Arabidopsis thaliana: one gene and its partners. The protein of the gene in region 2 binds, or shares a complex with, the protein of the main gene of each other region. Each region holds a gene or a part of one and is shown on either strand. Other genes may lie near its edges.

Region 1 (5,368 bases), about 10 Mb from region 2:
AAAGAGAGGAATAAGATCATGATGAGCGAATATGCAAGACGGCGTGGGCAAGTGAGTGATGAGTTCTTCACTCTTTGTTTCTTTTTTGCTTTTTATTTTTATACTTCATTTTCGTATAGGATACATTTTCTTTCCTTACTTAATTAGTGCTTTCTTATCATTAGTTTTTACTTTTTCAATTATACTAGGTATATTCCCATGAGTTTTACCAAAGAATCAGAGTGAGTTTTTGGCCTTCCCTATTTTTGGGCTTAAAGGAAAACATAGAACATTTCCAAATCACTTACAAACTCCGAGAGAGTGTATAGAGCTGCAAATAGAGTAGGCCAAATATGCTTTAATTTGTTTTTTGTTTTTTTTGAGCAAACCAAGGAATTTTTATTTGGACATAACAACTCGCACCAAGTTCTATACATTACACATGACTTCTACTGAATAAAGAGGAAGAAAAGGCTATTCAAGAAACGTTTTGAGCTCTTTGTTTCACAAGGAACAATAGAAGTGGAACACAGTACACATTGTACCAAAGCAAACAAGCTTGCATTTTACATTTGCACGTAACAGCCAAGAATCATGGCCAAAAAATATACCGATCAAAATAAAAAGGAGGTTATTACTAATATATTATATACCTATAGATGTTGCAATTGCGGTTTCTGACTTTTAGTTTATTTTTACCAAAACCTGACAAAACTCAGCAGAAGCATAATAATAGCCAACAATCAAAATTAAAATTGTGAGGCTAATATTTTGGCTTGACGAATACTCTTTAACCAAAATCATTATGAATTATGAGTTTGGATAGCCACATATAAGATCCCATTCTTGATTCTAGCTAGGGACAGAACTTATCGAGATCAATAATTGCCAAATATGTGACTTACTTATCTTGACCATGGAGACAGTTAAAAACTCTCAATGAAACAGCTCTCCTCTCCAAATCAGAAAACCTGCATATCAATTTATGATTAAAGTGTTAACGATGTAGAGTTGTAAGAAACTTTAACATACATCATCTAACATTCGACATGAACACCTGAGGAGCCCTCATCTACGTCTTTACAAGATCGTGGCATGCACTCTATTGAGATCATTGTGAGGGCTACCACAGAGGCTCATGACGAATTTAGATGATCAGTCTACGTTTTTCTATGACCTTAACACTTATTGAGGCCGGTTGGTTCTCTATGCCCACTTAACAACAAACAAGTTTCATCACCGTAGTAAAGTGTCTGTTGGGACACAAGAGTTCACATGATATTTCAAGTTCTGATGGAACTGGAATAGGGATTGTCGTCTTTGTTTGCCACCCACACGTAGCCTCTCGTGATGATTGTTTTCATAATCTCCACAAAAGATTACTTGTGGATCGCGAACCGAGACGACAGTCCCTTGCTTTCCAAAATCAAACGAAAAGGAAAAGAAAGAAAAAGGAAGGTGTAAGAATGGTGGTAATGTGGTAGAGTTATCATTTTCTTCTTCTTACCTCCTTCCATTATATAGTGTTTCACATGCCCATTTCGTAATATAACCTAAGCCAAAGAAAATCGCTTCGGTTTTAAATTATATAATTTTATTTTATAAAGTTAAAACTCATAAATCAGTAAATAAAAAATAAACTTAGGAAACGTTTTTGTTTCAACAGATTATATGGATTTCATACTTATACACAAACTATAAACATTCCCAAAGTTTTAGTAAAAATTAGCACCCATTATCCAAAATTTTAAAAACTTAGCTTAGTTTTATTATACAATACAATAGAATCGAACAAAAGGGACAACAGTTTTCTATCATATCTCGAATGTATCGAAATGTACTTAAGCGAGTATGGCTTTTTGGGGGACAAGGATCATGCATGAACGAAATATTTCTCCAACCACATATGTTATGTTTTGGCCCCGTGAAAATTTTCCACAAGTAAATTTATTGCTAAAGTTATTGACCAACAACATAAATCTTGTTGAAATGAATTAACTGAACAGTGTGAAAAAATCAACCAATATTCATGGTGTTCCTTACAATGCAATTTCAGTTCTGATGCAATCCGTAACAATTGAAGTTGTCACATGTTCACAACAATCCTTAAATCGATTTTAGCAAAAGAGCATAAGATACATAACCAAGGTTGCTGTTAGCTCAGTAGTTGCAATTAGAATCGGCTATTGAACACAACCGGGTGATATGAGATTGCGTAGCAAGATAGTAAACAATGTTTTAAAAAGAGTTATTATAGGAACACAAACTCTTCTGATTTTAATGATAGGAGGACAAGAGAGAGCAGTGAAATAAAGTTCATAAGCAGCAAAATTCTCAAGTCTGATATTATAAGAGTAGCAAAAGTGAGAGACAAAAACGAAATAACAAGGTTTATGTTTTGCAAATATTCAGAAATGAACATCAACTACTAAAAGTAGCTACTAGCAGAAAAGACGCAGAGTGAGAAAAGATGGCTTTAAGCTCTTCAGCGTTTGCCACCACCACCTCCCACCTTAGGACCCTTGGATGCAGCAGCAGCTTTGGGGAAATTAGCCTTGACCTTCTGTTGCTTAGAAGCAAATTCCACCTTCTTAGCCTTCTTTTCATCTTTGGTCTTTTTGATTCTTTCCTTGATCTCACTGTTTGTTGAATCATCATCACAATACATTTATTAAGTCAAATATAACTATTTTAATCCTAGTTGGATGATTTGACAGAGGGAGAAAACTAACCGCAGAGCAGCTTCCCTGGCTGCATCACGAACTTCAGGCTTCTCAGCTCTCTTCTTCTGAATTACTTCCAAGGTAGCACCAACAATGGACCTTGAGTATGGCTTCTTGGTGGCACGTCTCCTTCTCTTCACAGCCTCTTGTGCTGCATCCTATAAAAGAAACAGAGTTTTAGAATGTTAACAAATCAGGATCAATGAAAAAAAACAAAGTACAAACAACAAAACAGATCCAAATTACTGAGTTTTTTTTTTACCTTCTTGTGTTGCTTTCTGTACATGGCAGTCCATGCAAGCTTGGATGGCTTCAACTTGTTATGGAAGTACCTCTTACATTTTGAGTTAAGAAACAAGAAAACCTGAAAACAATACAAACCATTAAAAGACTAAAACCAAAACATTTGCAAAGTATAAACAAATCAATTTGATTAGCTGAAGATTCATAAAAGAACCAACCTGAGAATCAGATCGGATAAACCTAATTCCTCTTCCTGGGTAAATCTTCTGTCCACTGAAACGACAAAGCTCCGTCCTGTATTTCATAGATAATAAACAAATGAGACATTGCAACTAGAAATGACAACCAAATGATCTTTGACACTGAAAAATCTCAGTCTACATGATAGAAATGAATCATCCATATACCAAATACAGACTAATCACAGATATTAACGAAGTATCATACTTTTATTACTTAGAACCAGATCCAGCTACACAGAGACCATGAAATTACCCAGCTTAGCTAACGGTAAAGCAAAACATATCATAAATTCCGATTGAAACAAGAGTCAATTTCAGTGAATCGATCCTTCCGATAGTGTGAAATCATGAATCATTATCACTAGGCGATGTTAATAGATTCAACACAGGAACAGATACAGAGAGAGAGAGAGAGGTGAGATTTGATTACTTGAGAACCATGGTAGTAGCTGCTCCTCTTCTTCTTCGTCTTCTTCCTCCTGCTCAGGCTGCTCCCGGAAACACTAGACTAGAAAACCCTAATTCTCTCGATACTTATATATAAGAGACTTCACATTTCACCCAATGCCATTTTCGTCTATATATATTATTCTGGCCCACACTTTAAGCCCACTAAATAGGCCCATCACAAATAGGCCCATAATTTTATTAGCCCATATATTTTTGTAGTGATGACGTCAGCTCTCCTCCAATAATTTTTTGATTTTTTCCCATAGCCGACGACGGTAGAGGAAACTTGTCAATGGACCTAAAAAACGGTGACGTTTCGTAAAAGGTAGATGAAAGTTTGAACAAGTAGCTAAGCTCTCTCTCTGCACAAGCTTCCAGAAAAAATCAAATCAAAAGAGAGAGAGATCCACAAAATTGGATTGAATCGTCGCCGGATATTCCAAGAGTAGAGAGCTTAGTTTGTCTCGCGTTGCGTCTAGATTTACTGAATATGGAGGCGGAGAAGTGGAACAGCGACGGTGGTGAATACACGTCGGAGGACGAAGGTACAGAAGATTACCGACGCGGCGGTTACCACGCCGTTCGGATCGGTGACTCATTCAAAACCGGCCGGTACGTTGTCCAGAGCAAACTCGGTTGGGGCCATTTCTCTACTGTTTGGCTCTCCTGGGATACTCAATCCTCTGTACGCATCTATCTCTCTCTCTCGCCACACGAATTGCTTGAAATGCTTTAGAGATTAATTTTTCGTTGCTTTGTTTGTGTGATTTTCTTACTCGTATATCGAATGTACAGAGATATGTGGCTTTGAAGGTGCAAAAGAGTGCTCAGCATTATACTGAAGCAGCCATGGATGAGATAACAATATTGCAACAGATTGCAGAGGGAGACACTGATGATACCAAATGTGTTGTGAAGCTTTTGGATCATTTCAAACACTCAGGTCCGAATGGTCAGCATGTATGTATGGTTTTTGAGTATTTGGGAGATAATCTGTTAACGTTGATTAAGTATTCTGATTACCGTGGCTTACCTATTCCTATGGTTAAGGAGATTTGTTATCATATGTTGGTTGGTTTAGACTACTTGCATAAACAGCTTTCGATTATACATACTGATTTGAAGCCTGAGAATGTTTTGTTACCGTCAACTATTGATCCGTCTAAAGATCCGAGGAAGTCTGGAGCTCCTCTTGTTCTCCCCACTGATAAGGATAATACAGTTGTTGACTCCAATGGTGATTTTGTCAAGAATCAAAAAACAGGAAGTCATAGAAAGGCAAAGCTTTCGGCTCAGGGACATGCAGAGAATAAGGGCAATACGGAATCTGATAAAGTTCGTGGAGTGGGATCACCGGTTAATGGAAAACAATGTGCTGCAGAAAAATCGGTTGAAGAAGATTGTCCTTCTACTTCTGACGCAATTGAATTAGATGGTAGCGAGAAAGGAAAGCAGGGTGGTAAGAAAGGGAGTCGATCAAGTCGAAGGCACCTTGTGGCATCTGCTGACCTCAAGTGTAAACTTGTTGACTTTGGTAATGCGTGTTGGACATACAAACAGTTCACAAGCGACATTCAAACGAGACAGTATAGGTGTCCAGAAGTAATCCTTGGATCTAAATACTCTACATCTGCAGATCTCTGGTCATTCGCGTGCATATGTTTTGAACTTGTCACTGGAGATGTGCTATTTGATCCCCATAGTGGCGACAATTATGATAGAGATGAGGTA
Region 2 (6,044 bases):
GCATGTCTTGACTCTTTAAAAGCTACAAACAAATATAGTTTAATATGTTTTTAAATATTTAAACGAGGGCAAGTAGAAATCCAAAGGGCTAACCAGTTGCTTGAATGGTAACCAGCGATTGTGGCCACACCCTCCAAAGCTTTTCTCCATCTCTTTATCTCTTCCTTTGTTTTACCTTTGCAAGTTTCTTTGAAAACCTTCCCAAAATCTCCGGTCTGTTTCTTTATATGAGTTGGATCAACTTCATAGAAAATGGTTATCACTATTTGACCCAAGTCTTCCTTGCACTTCATAATCTCCACCAACTCGTTCATGCACCACGACGAAGAAGCATAGTTCCTCGAGAGCAAGACAATCGCAATCCTTGATCCTCTGATAGCTTCTACGAGCTCAGGACCGATTGACTTACTCCTCTCGATACTATTATCAATAAATGGGTCAATTCCCTTTCCTCTGAACGCCTCTAGGACGTGACTAAGAAAGGTTTTTCGAACATCTGCCCCATGGAAGCTCGGGAAGACTTGGTGCTTCCAAGTTCGAGACAAAGAAGATGGAGGAACTGATGAAGGGGACAAAGAAGCAGAATCATCTTCTCTGTTATCTTGTTGGAATTTGAATTTTTTTAAAAGGGTTAAGAAGCCTATTGCAGCTGCAAGAGTACCAAGGAAAAAAGAAGAATTCATTAGTAAGGTGAAAAAAGGATCTAAGACTAAGCATACATGGTAGAGGAAGGATTAACAAAGAGACGTTGTGTATATTGAATACAGATCGTTGACTCTGTTGGTAGAGAAAGAGAAGCTTCATGGCTGTTACCTTTCACCATAAAAATTTATGGAAAATTTTGCTAAGGACAAATCGTGGTCCCTTTCATGTAGGGCTCCACCATTCATGTAATTTACTTGGAATCCAAATAATACACATCATATTCTCGATTATATACTAAAGAAGTCACGAGAGAAATTAAATTACGTATTAGTCAGCTTCCAGGATAGTTCATACTTCATACTACAGAGCAGATAAGTCATTCCTACTTTGCATAAGACAGTTCCAGTACCCGATAAGGCTACATATAATAATAGCTCCAAGAGAATACTGAGTTATTTCCTTAAACAGTGATTTAGCTCTAAACTTGTAGTAATGTGATCTAGTTCATCTTGTAGCAATGTTTTCTAGTTCATATAGATGAAGTCTAACAGTTCTTACATTTAACAATAGCAAACTACAGATAAAATCAAGTCATCAAACTATTGTCATACAAATTCTTGAAAATTATGATGAAGGTAATAATAAGATAATGATACTTCAAAGAAAATGTATCCTCAATATCAAAATCCTCGAACACAATTAAAATGTGAACACAAAAGCTGAGTGTTTTAGTCTGAAAACAGAAAATTTGAGGCATTAAGCTCAAAAGATAAAAAACTACAAGAGGCATGAGATAAAGAAGGCTTGACTGATTTACTCTTCATCGTCCTCATCATCATCATCACCACCTGCTCCATTCAATGCCTTGACTCTCTCGATCAACTTGTTCTTCCTCTCCTCGTAAGTAAGTTTCTTCAAGTTGTACCTGTTTTGTTAAATGGAAGACCAAATGAGACACCAATACACCAACAAGACAAGAATATAGATAGACTAGATTGATTCTGTTTCCCTACCTCTTGTGTTGCTTGGGAGCAGGTTTCACGGTTTTCTTTGGGTTGGGGTCAGCACGAATAGCTGCGTGAACCTTCTTGTACAACTCCTCAATGCTCTCAGCTTCAACTCCTTTCTTGATGTAAGCACTGAAGTGAGTTTGTAACTTCTCTGGCTCATCTTCTCCCAACAGCTTCATGTAGTTTGAGACATGGCCACCATAGATGTAGTTCCTGTGGATTTCAGCATCAAGTTGCTTGTTCTCCTTGTGGAACCCAGCAAATCTCTTGTCACTGTGAGGGATATCAAGACCACCATCCAAAGCACCCTACAGATTCAAACAGCGAACCAAAAGGATATTAAAGAATTGCCAGTATAAGCATTTGCTCAAGAAGAATGACAAATAAGAGCACTCACAACAAAAAAAGAGAAACAAGTTAATACCTTAAGAGCACCGAACACACGGTTTCCTGTTGTGGTCCTGATAAGTCCAACATCAAGAAGAGCACGGAAAGGTCTCCTTGAATCAGTTGGCTCAACGGAAAAGTCTTCTCCAGTGGCCTGATTCATTGTGTGACTTGAGTTTCTAACAAGAGACAATAACAATGCTTCTTATTATCAAGATGAAACCAATCACACAACATACCTCAACGTTTCCCTCATACTCGTCATCCATTTCCAACATCTTTAAAACACGGCGAGCCAAAAGAAGGCCAGTACAGTAAGCTAGTTCAACAAAAAAAAATTACACATAAGTAAGCCATAAAGACAGAATCAACCATATTAAATTGGAAAACAATACCAGATGACACATTCAATACCTGCAGCATAGTTTGTAAGACCAACAGTGAGACCATACTGAGGCAGTTCATGTGCGTAAGCAGAAGCTTTAACAATGTCACCAGCAATGCTTGCAGATACAATCTGTGCCACTATGTCTTTGTTGGTAAACCGGACAACAAAACGATACTTAGGAGTATTGTACTTGTTCTTGTCTTGGTTGATAAGACGGATCCTTGCCCTGTAGTCAGTCTTTCCATCTACACAAAAATAAAATAATTTTCAGAAACAGATTGAAACAAAGAGAGAACAAACAATATCATCAGAATAAAACGAATCAACAATCTATTACCTCTTCTTCTCCTGAACTTCACTTGGTACCTCTTGAAGTAAGCATTCGACTTGGTGGACTTCACAAACACCTACCAACAACAAATCATCTTATTTTATTAGTCTAAGATCCAACAATATAAAGGTTCTTCGATGGTAACAAAGATCTACGGTAAGAACTCCATTGAATACGTATCAGTGACCTCTAAAACAGAACAAAAGCAAAGTCTCAAACTTTTCCTATTTCAATTCTCAAGCAAGTTATAAAACCAAAAACCCATGAAGAAAAACATCTACGAAGGTGGATAGAACCATAGGATCACGAATTCTCGTTACGATATCTAATCAAAAGCAATGCAGGAGATTTCTATATGAAATGAAGATCAAAACCCGATTTTCTTAAGAGAAGATTAAGAAGAAACGATTGAGAAATGAGAAGAGATAGAGATTAAAGCTAGGGTTTACCATTGTTTGATTCCTCTAGCAACGAGAGGCTTTGCTGTGAGATTGTGAGTGAAGAGAAGCAAGAGGCGGAATGACCTAAATGCGACATCTTATAAGACAAAACCCTAGAAAACTCCTCGTGGGCTGAAAAATGTTAATGGGCTTTACTAGTTATATTATTAATGGGCCTATGGGCTTTTACATTCACACTCCAACGAAATCCAATTTTCTACTGAAATGGTCTCCTCCTCTCCTCGTTTGTCTATAATCCATAGGAACATTTCTCTTGACCATCTTGATGCAATGTTATTTCTTTGATCTTCTCATCTACGGGTTCTTTTTTGCTTCCTTTGTTTCATATAACCTTAACAGTGACCAACTTCAAATAAACTTTGCTCTATTTTATTGGTTCTGTTTCAATCAATTTGATCTACCTCTGGACCAATATCGAGTGAACTAGCCATAAAGTAGTTGAAACGTAAGGTTGCAACTCTATGAACGTTTCTGGATATGTGGTTAAGACTTTTTATTTGGTGAAGGAGTAAAATGTGTGTTTGGCCAAATGAGTAAATCTCTATTTGGGAAGATAACAATGATTTCAGTATCTCAGCCAATCCAAATGAGTGGATGTTTTGAAACAGTTTGCTATTCGCGGGAGAATTTCACAGCTTCAATCACAGCAGAGAAGTCGAGATCTCCTAGTCCCAAGCTTCTCGCCTTCTTAAAAGCCTGTCGAGAACCGAAACATATATTTTAAGATTCAAGCTAAGAAACCAATCTAGAGGAGGGAGAGCCAATATGTTATTGTCTCTGAGTAACTAACTAACTAACTGACCTCGTTTGCAGCCGCGGCTACAGGCATGGAAACCGCGTTTTCATCGCCAAGAGCAAGAGCTAGCCTCATGTCTTTCTGCTGATGTTTCAATGGAAATGCTGGTGGGTAACTACTCTTGTTCATTGAAGGTCCTTTCCCCTTGAACATCGGGTTAGTCATTGCTCCCAGATCCTGCCCATAGCAGAAACCGATTCAAACCAACACCATTATTTCAGAGCTTGCAAAAGTTTGATCACCTCACCAGAATATCCAAAAGAGTGTCAGAGCTAAGTCCACTCTTGTCAGCCAATACAAGCCCCTCAGAGAATGCATTCATCATGCTGTATCAGACGAAAAACAATAAGATCATGAAGCCATGTTCCATTCCTACTACTAATGGTAGTAATTGTAAAAGAGACGGGACATTCACCTTCCCATTATCATGTTCACTATTAGCTTCATTTTAGCTCCGTTTCCAACTTGTCCCAAGTAAAACGATCTCTTCCCCAAGACATCAAAAGCTGGGATTGATTCCTCAAAGAGTGCCTTACAAAAAAGGATTAAAACACAAACGGATTATAGCCGCACATCGAGAGCTCCTTCCTACTAAGTCCAACTAAAACAGTTCTTGAGATCTATCAATCAATCCATAAGTACAGTTTTGAGTTGTACCTTGTCACCAGCAGCAAGGATAATGAGTTGGCCATCTTCAGCTGGCTTTTTGCTACCTGAAACCGGACCTTCTACGAACCGACCACCCTTCCCGGTGATTGCCTACCAATGCGCAACACAGCTCAATCAAACTAATCAACCTTCTTCTAATCTTATCATCAGCATCTAAAGTACAAAAGATTCAACCTCATTGATCTTCAAAGAAGTCTCTGCATCAACAGTCGACATATCGATATAACCTTTTCCTTCACATATCTGCTCCAAAACACCGCCTTTATCGAAAACAACCTAATCAAACAACTACTTCATATCATTCATCACCAATGCTAAAACACACACAAAAGAAGCAAAAAAGGATTTCAAATACCGAAAGAGCAGCACAAGGATCAGAGAGCATAGCAATAGTGTATTTGCATTTCTTGATTACTTCAGCTGGACTCTCACATACTGATGCACCATGCTCCACAAGCTCATCACACTGTCACAATCATCAAAAATTCCCAAAATTGCATTAAATTACTCAAAAAGTTTCCGACTTTATCAGATCTGAACAACTAAAACTAAATCAGAAAACCATAATACCAAAACACAATCAAAGACAAAAAAAAAAAAAAAATTACCTTGGAGAGTGTTCTGTTCCATACAGTGACTTTGAATCCATTCTTCAATAGATTCATTGACATGGCTTTTCCCATGATTCCCAAACCCAGAAACCCTACTTCCATTTTATCTATCTTCTGCGATTATAGTGCTTACTTACTGCTTAGTGATGATGGTCTGAGAATGATAAAGCCGGAGCCTTTTCTAATCAGAGAACCATTATCATCAAATACACTTACTTTGAAAAGGAAGTATTTACAGTTTACTCCCTACAGTTTGATTCTGTTTGCATCTCTAACTGCCAGTTATGAACGAACAGGATTTCGCCACGTGTTTGAAATAAGAGGGATTTTGGGTTTTGATTGTTTCTCGAATATTTTTGGTACGATGAGATATCATATTTCTACTATATACATAAAGTTAAATAATCTAATATAGTTCTTCAGCATATTCATGTTCTCTAATGACTAATTATATCATAATCGTAAACTTACAAGTACAATGATGAGGACGGTCTCAAATTATATATACTTCTTGTTCAATTTTAGTGTTAACGTAGATTTTTTTTTTAATAAAACAACGGTGATTTCTAGATATACAGAGAAGAATAATGAGAAGACAAATTGATCTTAATTTGTAATATAGTACTTATTAGAGACATGAATATTATATTATTAGTTTGCATTATTGTATTACCATCATCGCTGAAGAAAGGCATTACTCAACACATCTGTCTAACTGTCTTAGTAATGGACAACTAAACCAACAA
Region 3 (5,629 bases), on a different chromosome or scaffold from region 2:
CGCTTCTCCTTACCGCCACATCACCTCAATCTCCTTCACAAACTGCTCCTCCACTCTATCTCTCCCCTCCAAAACACTCAAACCACTCTCAAAATCTCTCATCTCCCTCTCTTTCACTAACTGCCCTTCACTCTCTCCTCCATACCACCTCCCAATCTCCCTCCACTCCTTCTCCGCCGTCTCCTCCTTCCTCCAAAACAACCGTACCAAACTCTCCGGCCTCTTCCTCGCTCGTCTCAAAAACCTCAAAACCCTCTACATTTCCTCAACCCCAATCCAAACCTCTCGTCGTCTTTATGTCATCCTCGGAAACATGCATAAACTCACTTCCCTCACTATCTCAAACTCAAATCTCACTGGCCTTATCCCTAAATCTTTCCACTCAAATCTCAGATACATAGATTTATCAAACAACTCACTCAAAGGCTCAATACGCATTTCCATTACTCGTCTCAAAAACCTCAAGTCCTTAAACTTATCTCATAACTCTCTCTCTGGCCAAATACCAAACAAAATCAAAAGCTTAACTTTTCTAAAAAACTTATCTTTAGCTTCAAACAAACTATCAGGAACAATCCCAAATTCACTCTCATCTATCTCTGAACTTACACATTTGGATCTAAGTATGAATCAACTAAACGGAACCGTTCCAAGTTTCTTCTCCGAGATGAAGAACCTCAAACACTTGAATCTCGCTGATAACTCCTTCCATGGAGTTTTACCATTCAACGAAAGCTTCATCAAAAATCTCAACTTTTTCGAAATTGGAAGGAACAGTGAGCTCTGTTATAACAAAACTGTTCTCTCCTCGAACTTGAAATTGGAGGGTCTTGCTCCGTGTGATAAATACGGTTTTCCTTTATGGTCTCCGTCGCAAAAGGAGGAATCTTTGTCAGGAGAAAACGATTACGACGTTGAAGGAGGCAATGAGGAGAAGACGGAGAATCTGAAGACGAAGGAAGAAGAAGAAGAAGAACACAAAGGTTCCAACAAGACTCTGTTTGGTCTCGGCATTGGTCTTTTCTCGCTTGTGTTCTTAATCCTCTTCCTCTTTTATCTCGCTAAAAGGTGTCGTTTGATTTGAGAAGTCTGGGACGTAGTAATTTTGTATTGGTTGTGTATTCACCCTTCTCTCCTTCTAAATGTTTTATTTTATTTTCTCCTGTTTTAGTATTTATGAATTGTGGTTATGAGTGTATTTATGAATTGTGGTTATGAGTATCTTTAGTTTTATTTATACAAATTTGTTCAAAACATAGGGTTAGTTTAGGGACTGTGTAGTCCAGAGACATATTCATCTATAAGGACAATGAAATCAAAGGAGCTGCTTTTGATTGATTTTAGTTTTGATGATGACATTGAATAAAATAAGAAACATATCTCCAAGGTTCTTGGAAGATTTAGATTCTACCAAACTGATGTCAAAAGATTTACTACAACAAGAAATTCTTTAACATCCAAAGATAACAACTTAAAATAAGCTAGAATCAACAAAAATCTTTAAAGATCAAAACACTTTTTAACCAGTGATGTTCTGAGACTTGTTGAGGATAACTCCTTCATACTTGACCTGGAACCATTTCATTGCATCATCCTTGGTTACTCTGTGTTGAATACCAACACGAGTCTTGCATCTACGGCGGCGAGCCACACGATATCCTGGGCGTTCAAGGACAACGTAAAAGTCCATTCCGTAGATACCAGTGGAAGGATCGTACCTATATACACAAAATAAAACACATGAGAACAGTAAACATTTCAAATAAACCAGTTAATCAGTTTCGAATCTAACACCCTTGAAAAACAGTAAAGCATTCATCTTTTACTAGACCCAAATCTAGCATTCAACCAAAAACTAGTAAAGGGCTCATTTTTAATCCAATCCATACTTAAAATTCCACAAAAACTATAACACTCAGCGAAAACCAAAGTAGTCTGCATTCTGACTAAACCTCACAAAACCCCTAATTTAGAGACTTGACATTTAGATGCAACTGAAATTCTTTTAAACATATACAGATACATGAAGAATCCAAGTACCAAAACCATTATACAAAGCCATTAATGTAACTAATTCAAGGAAACTTTCATCGCAAAAGAAACAGAAAACTTACTTGATTCCAAGATCAATGTGCTCTTGGATACCAAATCCAAAGCAACCAGTGTCACTGAAGTTCCTCCTAAGAAGCTCATACTCCTTAACTTTCAAACCACTCTCAAGAAGCTGCATTGCCTTCTCACCTCTCACAGTCACATAACACGCAATCTTCTCATTACGCCTGATACCAAAAGACCTCACAGTGTACCTCGCTGTATAACAAAAACCACAACATACATCAGAATCAAGATCAACACAAAATCAAACTTAAATCCCTGAAAGATTTCAAATTCACATACCCTTAGAGAAGACAGGGGTTTGTCCACTGAGCTGCTCCAACACCTATACGAAATAACCAAAAACAATAATTCAAATCTAAATCACTAAATCAATGATGGATAATCGTAAAGGTCAGATTTTTACAAACAAAATCGAACCTTGGAGGCACGAGTGAGACGATCACCACTCTCACCAACGGAAATGTTGAGAACAAGTTTCTGAACCTTAATGTCCCTCATGGGGTTCGAGAGCTTCTTCTCCGACGCCTGAGAAACAAAACAAAGCCGAAAAATAAACCCATTGAACTAAACACATTTTCATTGAATCGATCTACAGAGACGAACGAAACAAATACCATTTTAAGGAGATCAATGTCGAGCTAAGAGACGAAGCAGTGTAGAGTTTGCAAAGCCCAAAACTGCGTCGAGTGCAAAGTGAGAGAACTTATATGGGTCGGTACTTAGGGTTTCTTGAATTAACGCAATGACGAAATTACCCCTTTGATTTATTAAAATGGTTTAATGGGCCAATATTATAAAGCCCATAAGAAAAGCATAATCTTAAGCATATATTTGGCCTTCTTAGTTACATAAGGCAAATAGTCTTTCATTCGCCGAATCACTTTATTATGTATGAGTTTTAAAATTAACGATAGATAATTTTTTATGAGACTGTGGAAACGCAAATCTTCATTTATTTTTGGAAGAACAGAATAAATAAGAGTTATTGAGAAAACAAATTTTTACAGTTAATGCCATGACAATGACAACAAAATCAAGAAGACTAGTTAAGACACTATGAAGTCTATCATCGTGGTCCAGAGAGCTCAATGGCTTCAATAATAAAGGACTGCTCTTCATGACCATTACTGTAGTTCCTAGAGACACTTGGAGCTCTAGCTTCATACCCTCCTTCACACTGTTCCACTAAACCTTCTAGTACCTTCAACACTTGAGACATCCTCGGTCTTAGATTCGGATGTGGCTGTGTACAAAGCAAAGCCAATTCCACTACTTCCTCCAACACCAAATCATCAAACTCTCCCTTCAAATCTCTGTCCACCATCTCTGCAAATCTCTTCTCTGCTTTCAATGTCCTTACCTACAAAAACCAATGGTTTAGATTTAAGTTTTGTCCTTATGGGTTCAGTCTAAGTTGAGTAAATGACTCATAGAATTTTTTTACTTACCCAGCTCAATATCATTCCTTTTCGAACTTGACCATTGCCTTGATCAATCATCTTATGACCTGTTATGAGTTCAAGGATTAGTACTCCGAATCCGAAAACATCGGTTTTCTCTGAGGACTGTCCAGTGGAAAGGTACTCGGGAGCGATGTGTCCAATGGTTCCTCGGACTGCGGTAGTGACATGTGAATCTCTCTGGTCTAAAAGCTTTGCTAGACCAAAATCGCCAACTATTGCTTCAAAGCTCTCATCAAGTAGAATATTTGCAGCTTTGACGTCTCTGTGAATAATCTTTGGATTGCATTGCTCGTGCAAGTAAACAAGTCCTCGAGCTGCGCCGAGTGCAATGCTTATCCTCCGATTCCAATCTAGAGACGGCTTTTCTCCATAATTGTCTGAAACATGTAATCTTATAAGGAACTTTTCGCGTTATATATCGAAAGAATAACAAAACAAGAAATGTGTTAATTGAAAACCTCTCAGACGATCAGCTACGCTTCCATTTGGCATGTACGGATACACAAGCATTCTCTCTTCCGGGGTCATACAGAATCCAAAGAGGCGTAAAAGGTTACGGTGAACAGCTAAGCCAATCATCTCTACTTCGGTTTGAAACTGAACTTCTCCTGTATAAATCGGATCTTTCAATCTTTTAACTGCCACCACAGTTCCATTTGGGAGATACCCTTTATAAACCATCCCAAACCCTCCTTGTCCCAAAATGTTCTTTGGACTAAAATTGCTTGTTGCGGTTTGTATTTCGCGAAAACTGAACCTTTTCAGATGGCCGATTTCAAATTCGTAGTCTTGCTGCACTAAGAAATCCATAAAAAGTAATGCAGATTTTAGCAAAGTCTTGACATATATTGTATATGACAGACAGAGAGAGACTATTAGATATGTACCGTGTGATCTTGAGAGACGTGATCGATGCCAAAGCACCCAGAAGAAGAGAAACATTAGGGAGATGATAAAGGCAACAACAATGCCAAATGCAAAAGAGAGCACTAAGCTGTGATGTTTGCTATTGTCCTTTTCAGACAAACCCGTCGCTGCAGATCGATTGCAGCTAGTTAAATAAACGAAACCATGTTTTAAATAAAGTTTTGCAAAGAATTTTCGAAGCAACATACCATTTCTCACAGGTGTAGCATCTGAGCAAAGCTCTTGGGAAGCTGGACCACAAAGAAATGCATTTCCTACAATCCTAAAACAGAAAAGTTTATCAAGAAGCTTTCACATAAGTTGCAACGGCTAATAATCATGCATTTTTCGCATATCTTACCTGTAATCTTTTGCTGATATATTCGGAGTTGGTCCGCTTAGATTGTTGAAAGATAGATCCCTATTCAAGTTTTTCATAAATAAAAAAACATTAGTCTAAGAAACATTATACGAAATAGAAATTTCCTGGAGCTGTAATGTTAGGTAGAGTAAGACATACAAGAAAGAAAGACCTGAGAGGCCAGCGACGAGGTGAGGGACTTGCCCAGATAAAAGATTCCTGCTAAGCCGCCTACAAGACTTAACCTTGTAAGAAAATAACAATTGCAACATTAAGTAAATCAAGAATCTTTGCATCAAACTCACAAGTAGTTTAAGTGAGTTAAGAACCCTAAAGAAGCTGGGATTTCACCACTAAACCGATTCCCCGATAAATCAAGCGTTTCAAGCTCAGAGAGTTGGCCTAACTCAGAAGGAATCGGACCAGTTAACTGATTATTCTGAAGTAACCTACAATAATAACAAGTAACCCCATTAGTTACAACAACACATACTTGAATTCCAAGATTAACCACAAATTCATTTAACTCACAAAGTATGAAGATGAGTTAATTCCCCAATACTAGTAGATAGTATCCCTGATAATCCTTTACTAGCCATCTCTCTGCATTAAAGATTTCAATAAACTCAGCAAAGAAACGTTTCTCAGAGACATTTAGTCGAACAAGTGGTGTGCAAAAGATACTCACAGAGAAACCACAAAACCTTCAGAAGAACAACCAACCATGTTCCAAGTACAAGGATCAACAGAGTTAATATCCCAACCAGACAAAACCTCTTTC
Region 4 (5,160 bases), on a different chromosome or scaffold from region 2:
TATATTACTGCTTCTTAATATGGCAGATTTTGAATAAAGAAAAGGTTTCACGAGAGAAGATTAGAACACTAATATGTATGACAAAAGCTTTCTTCTTGATTCAATGAAGTCACACTCATTTCAAATCCATAAATAATAAAGCTTACTTAAGTACTATAGTTGGTTAAACTCACAATAATATGACAATGTTTTGCTACTAATCACATCACTTGGATCAGTTATTTTTTGTTAAAACCTTGACTTGGATCTTACACTTTGATGACGCTCTTGGAAGCATCATAAGATTCCTCATTTCCATGGTGGTTTGCAAGTTATTACTGTTGTTTACCACGCAAATTTTCACTAGCTCAAGACACGGTAACTTCTCCAAGAAATGCTTCATTTGATTCAGCTCTCTTGTCGTTCCTTGATAGCTCAATATCTCCAGCACCTTCACTTGAGATGATGATAGGCAAGAGGTTATGCTCTCGTCGGTATCATAGCAAACACATACATCCCCACATCTGTTTGTTATGTAGTGATCGAGACCCTGAAGCATAACAAAGAAAAAGAGTAATGTTAACGACCTACCAATATATATATGGTGTTTAGGATGTGTTTGTGACATGAGATACCATGAAGATGAGGGTTTCTAGGTTTGGAGAGTTCTTGATCAGAAGTGGCAGCATTTGCCATCCTCTTGCCTTGTCATTCCCAATAGATAGACTAACAAGGCTGTCGAACAATGGCATTTCTTTACATGAGAAATAAAGCAGCTTCAACAAAACACAATGTGTTAGTCTGTTGTCACTCAATAACACAAAAGTTGAAATAAATCATCAAAAGCCCCAAGTGAATCTCATTCTCGATAAGCAAAAAAAAAGAAGAATGTTATTTATAAGGAAAGAACAATATATAGAGGAGGCTGACCTCTAGAGTGTGGCTAGATAAGTGAAGGATTCTAACATTTCTGATTCCATTGATGAGATTTCTCATATCAGCGGGAATGGAACCGAGAGATCCATTTCTTACTCCCACCATTCTTGTTTCATCCATCCGAAGATTGAGTCTAGCTTCGATGAGGGAATCCAACTTAACATTAGGATACTTACCCAAAACATAACCAGAGTGTTTGTAGTAGATAAGATTAGGAGCATCTAATGAAATACTAGTAAACTTGCGATCAAATCGGATGTGTAGTCTCTTTAGAGATGGAGAAGACACGGAACAAGTCCAATCTACACATCGCCGCTCCTCAACAACCAGTTCTTCGAGAACAGGACAGCGAGATATAAGAGTTCCAACAACATTATGACCTCCAACAAAATTAACTGAGTCAAGACATAATGTCCTAAGCAAAGGAAGAGAAACATCTTGAGAAAGCTTGATTGTAAAACCACGTCCTACTCTCAGCTTAACCAATGTCTTGCTCTTAAAGATCATTGCAGGCACTGGTGGAGATTTTCCTTTTAAAGTAATGAACACATCAAGATCCATAACACCATGGTCAAGAACGTTGCAAATCCAACTTTGAATGCGAGATGAATCAGTGCCACCTCGAACACCAACATGACTCTTTAGAGTGAGCTTCTTTATAGAAGAACCACGTTGCGTATCTAGCAATTTGTCAACGAAAGCCATGTAATTTCTGTGAATCTCAATCCGGTTTTGCTTAGTCTTAGGCACAGATTGACGATCATCAATATCAAGATTGGAAACCAAAACAAACATGTTCTTCCACCTCTTAGAGAGTACTGAGGTTGAAACAGCTTCTTTTGTGGAGATAAGAGACAGAATACGCCCAAGAACCTCATCTGGTAGACGGCTGATTACATCTTTAGCATTCATTGATACCAAAACCTTAAAACCACAGCAATTGGATTCAGAAACAGTAACTAGACAGAGTTGATGAGTTCAAAGGTCTGTTCTTTTTCATACAATGCAAAGTCTAATACAAAAGTTATCATGTATCTCTTCAATCACATTGATTACCATAGAAATGAAAAAGACGAAACAGAGCAGACAACATACCTTGCTAAAGTGCTACTTGCTACAGAGTCGTGAAAGCTCTCCACTTTCAATACCAATTTAATCGTGAGATCAAAAGTGAAAACATCGAATACTAGGGTTTTGGAAAGTTTAAGAGAAGAGACGAAGAAACTGAAACAACTTATTATAAGCAATTTCCTCCATTTCCACATGAGGAAAGAGTAAAGCAGAAAGACTGATGAAGAAAAGGTAAGTAGTCTGTTTGGGAAAGAAAGTCACGTGAGAGAAGCGTGGGCCTTTAAGGGTAAAACTGTCATTTAAATAGTCGCCGTTCTTTACACTTAGGATTAGGGCTTCTAACATTTAAATAGTCGTTTCGTTCTCCGTCTCTCCTTTCCCGTCGGCCGGTGATAATTTCGCAACCCAAATTCCAAATGGTAAGTTTCAGTTCTTGGATTTGTATGATTTTGTAATGTGAATAGGGATTTGAAGATTTACTTACTTTTGAAATTCAGGCGTCGGAGAAGAAGCTATCGAACCCAATGAGGGACATTAAAGTGCAGAAGCTGGTTCTCAACATCTCCGTTGGTGAGAGTGGAGATCGTCTCACCAGAGCCTCCAAGGTTCCTCCTGTTTTTTACCCATTCTCTGTGGTTTTCACTCTTGTTGTCACTTGGTTATAATCGATTGATTCGTGGTTACTTGGTAGGTTTTGGAACAATTGAGTGGTCAGACTCCTGTTTTCTCCAAAGGTTAGATTTTTTCTCATATTTGAAAGCTTACAAATAGTCTGGTTGATAGATTTAGTAATCTAGAAGAATTTGGGAAACATAGTTTAGTTAAGTCTATGAATGGGTGCATGGTTTGATGATGAATTTGAGATTTTGGAATCCAGTAAGTCCCTTATCTGGTGGTTTGTGATAACTTGATAAGCCTACCAGTCCAAATTAGGAGCTGTTCGTTTCCCCGCTTCTGATATAGTTGCGTTGTGCACTCTGTTTTATATGCATCGCTTTTGGTTTGCTCTGAGAGACATGATTTGGTTTAGCTTCTTCCATTGCAATTTTCAAGAACCCTTGTTATGTGTGGCTTTTGCAGCTAGATACACTGTTCGTTCTTTTGGTATCAGACGTAACGAGAAGATCGCATGCTATGTAACCGTCAGAGGTGAGAAGGCAATGCAACTACTTGAAAGTGGATTGAAAGTCAAGGAATACGAACTTCTCAGAAGAAACTTCAGTGACACTGGTTGCTTCGGTTTTGGTATTCAAGAACACATTGATTTGGGTATCAAGTAAGTCAATCCCCTTAAATCATCCTGTCATAACACTTGGGGTTCACCACATTCTTGGTGATACTCATTGATCTTTGTTTCACTTCTTATAAAGGTACGATCCATCAACTGGAATCTATGGTATGGACTTCTATGTGGTCCTAGAACGTCCTGGCTACCGTGTAGCACGTCGCAGAAGGTGCAAGGCTCGTGTTGGTATCCAACACAGAGTAACTAAAGACGATGCAATGAAATGGTTCCAGGTGAAATACGAAGGAGTCATTCTCAACAAGTCCCAGAACATCACTGGCTAAAACAATTCCTCCTAACTCTTTCTTCTGTTTTAGAAAACCCTGTCTCAGTTTTGTTTACTTGTCTGAATCTTAATCTTTGTACTTTATATGCATTATTGGCTTTAGTTTCAGTTATTTAAGTATCTAATTTCGTGTGAGGATAAGCAAGATAAGAAAATTTTGGCGGGTAGTTGAAGCGTGTGGAGACATATAAATCCACTAGCTGACACGTGCCACGGACGGCTAAGCACGCTTTCGCCGATCGCCGATCGCCGCTAGATTCATCTCGGATTCCTCCAAATAAGCTTCCCTGGTTCTTATCTTGCCACGTCAGCATTTCTCCCTCGTACGCCTTAAATTCTTCACAAAAATAATAAAAATATTAATTCAAATAAATGTTCATCTTCTCCTACGAATGAAATTGAAATTAATTTGAGCGATCGGAACAGGATCGGGTCGGATCTTTTGAAGTTCTTCAATGGCGCAGATACTTTCCCCTGTTTGTACGGATCTTTTGAAGTTCCAGAACTCAGCTCTTAGCTCCAGATCAGGTGCGTCGCCGCGGTTCTCGGCGAAGACCACCGGTGCTTCTTCATCTTGGTACTTACCTCGGTACGCAGGAAAGAGGCGAACCGATTCAATCGGAAGATTGAGAGTTGCAACTGAGGATGCTTCTTCTCTTTCCACCGGTGATGTCGCCGATGATTACTATGCCGTTCTCGGACTCGTAAGAACCAAGGCTATTTCAATCCGATTTGATATATGCATATAGGGATTTTGAAGTGATGATTTTTTTTTTTGGTTTAAGTTGTTTGCTTATGATTGAAACTTCTTGTGTATCATGGAAAAATACTCTGCATTTCATATGGTTGTAGCTAGATTCATCTTTGTCGAAATTGTGAAGCCTTTGACAGGTTACAATCATTAAGATCAAAGATTGTGACTTTAATAACTCTCCTTTGCTATGTCAATAGCTTCCAGATGCTACGCAGGAGGAGATTAAGAAAGCTTACTATAACTGTATGAAATCGTGCCATCCAGACTTGAGTGGCAATGACCCCGAAACCACAAATTTCTGCATGTTCATTAACGATATCTATGAGGTGAGTTTTTTACTTGACTTCCTTATAGATTTTTGTAAGCGTTTAGTAAGGTCCATATGCTTTTTCGTTTAATGATTTACCGTTGCATTGCAGATTCTCAGTGACCCTGTACAGCGTATGGTTTACGATGAAATTCATGGGTATACAGTGACTGCCATCAATCCTTTTCTTGATGACTCCACCCCAAGGGATCATGTTTTTGTTGATGAGTTTGCTTGTATAGGTATTCTTTCTTCAATTTAGAGGCTGCGTGCTTTGATGATCTGGAAAGTGACTACATTTGCGTTTGGTGTTTAACAGGCTGCAAAAATTGTGCCAATGTGGCTCCAGATATATTTCAAATTGAGGAAGACTTTGGTAGAGCAAGGGCTTGTAATCAGCGTGGCAACCCAGATTTGGTTCAGCAAGCAGTTGAAACATGGTAGGTTTATATTCTGTAGATGCAACTGATTGTTATAGTTACTTCTGGTGGGCAATTTCAGAGAACTGATTAGGAGATGCTTTTGGTTTTGTTTTCAGCCCG

What was found.
Region 1: ATL5 (region 2) and STV1 share a complex: the UniProt entries of both Arabidopsis thaliana proteins name them as parts of the large ribosomal subunit.
Region 3: ATL5 (region 2) and AT5G45775 share a complex: the UniProt entries of both Arabidopsis thaliana proteins name them as parts of the large ribosomal subunit.
Region 4: ATL5 (region 2) and RPL16A share a complex: the UniProt entries of both Arabidopsis thaliana proteins name them as parts of the large ribosomal subunit.

The regions. Positions count from the first base shown.
Region 1 is NC_003074.8:19,658,285-19,663,652, forward strand, and holds STV1 (Ribosomal protein L24e family protein), read right to left. Parts: upstream 3,742-5,368; 5' UTR 3,629-3,741; coding exon 3,618-3,628; intron 3,240-3,617; coding exon 3,164-3,239; intron 3,067-3,163; coding exon 2,965-3,066; intron 2,861-2,964; coding exon 2,712-2,860; intron 2,619-2,711; coding exon 2,465-2,618; 3' UTR 2,204-2,464; downstream 1-2,203. Other genes in the region: SRPK4 (ser/arg-rich protein kinase 4), read left to right, coding at 4,128-4,322, 4,433-5,365. UniProt on the Arabidopsis thaliana protein: Might have an extraribosomal function in reinitiation of translation of ETTIN and MONOPTEROS genes that are involved in the auxin-mediated gynoecium patterning.
Region 2 is NC_003074.8:9,268,115-9,274,158, forward strand, and holds ATL5 (ribosomal protein L5), read right to left. Parts: upstream 3,352-6,044; 5' UTR 3,214-3,351; coding exon 3,211-3,213; exon of another isoform or gene 3,061-3,210; coding exon of another isoform or gene 3,058-3,060; intron 2,838-3,057; coding exon 2,768-2,837; intron 2,676-2,767; coding exon 2,457-2,675; intron 2,362-2,456; coding exon 2,282-2,361; intron 2,197-2,281; coding exon 2,080-2,196; intron 1,964-2,079; coding exon 1,659-1,963; intron 1,571-1,658; coding exon 1,459-1,570; 3' UTR 1,163-1,458; downstream 1-1,162. Other genes in the region: GLYR1 (glyoxylate reductase 1), read right to left, coding at 3,835-3,918, 4,025-4,195, 4,266-4,344, 4,434-4,549, 4,676-4,777, 4,862-4,963, 5,043-5,153, 5,296-5,400. UniProt on the Arabidopsis thaliana protein: Component of the ribosome, a large ribonucleoprotein complex responsible for the synthesis of proteins in the cell.
Region 3 is NC_003076.8:18,563,762-18,569,390, forward strand, and holds AT5G45775 (Ribosomal L5P family protein), read right to left. Parts: upstream 2,822-5,629; 5' UTR 2,736-2,821; coding exon 2,733-2,735; intron 2,710-2,732; exon of another isoform or gene 2,644-2,709; coding exon 2,536-2,643; intron 2,441-2,535; coding exon 2,398-2,440; intron 2,311-2,397; coding exon 2,115-2,310; intron 1,719-2,114; coding exon 1,520-1,718; 3' UTR 1,231-1,519; downstream 1-1,230. Other genes in the region: RLP55 (receptor like protein 55), read left to right, coding at 1-1,084; AT5G45780 (Leucine-rich repeat protein kinase family protein), read right to left, coding at 3,185-3,478, 3,567-3,958, 4,040-4,378, 4,469-4,615, 4,697-4,770, 4,849-4,908, 5,008-5,079, 5,154-5,297 and 2 more. UniProt on the Arabidopsis thaliana protein: Component of the ribosome, a large ribonucleoprotein complex responsible for the synthesis of proteins in the cell.
Region 4 is NC_003071.7:17,789,392-17,794,551, forward strand, and holds RPL16A (ribosomal protein large subunit 16A), read left to right. Parts: upstream 1-2,300; 5' UTR 2,301-2,402; coding exon 2,403-2,405; intron 2,406-2,483; coding exon 2,484-2,591; intron 2,592-2,677; coding exon 2,678-2,720; intron 2,721-3,066; coding exon 3,067-3,262; intron 3,263-3,356; coding exon 3,357-3,555; 3' UTR 3,556-3,751; downstream 3,752-5,160. Other genes in the region: AT2G42730 (F-box/FBD/LRR protein), read right to left, coding at 215-529, 615-755, 910-1,827; AT2G42750 (DNAJ heat shock N-terminal domain-containing protein), read left to right, coding at 4,013-4,261, 4,509-4,637, 4,731-4,860, 4,938-5,058, 5,157-5,160. UniProt on the Arabidopsis thaliana protein: Component of the ribosome, a large ribonucleoprotein complex responsible for the synthesis of proteins in the cell.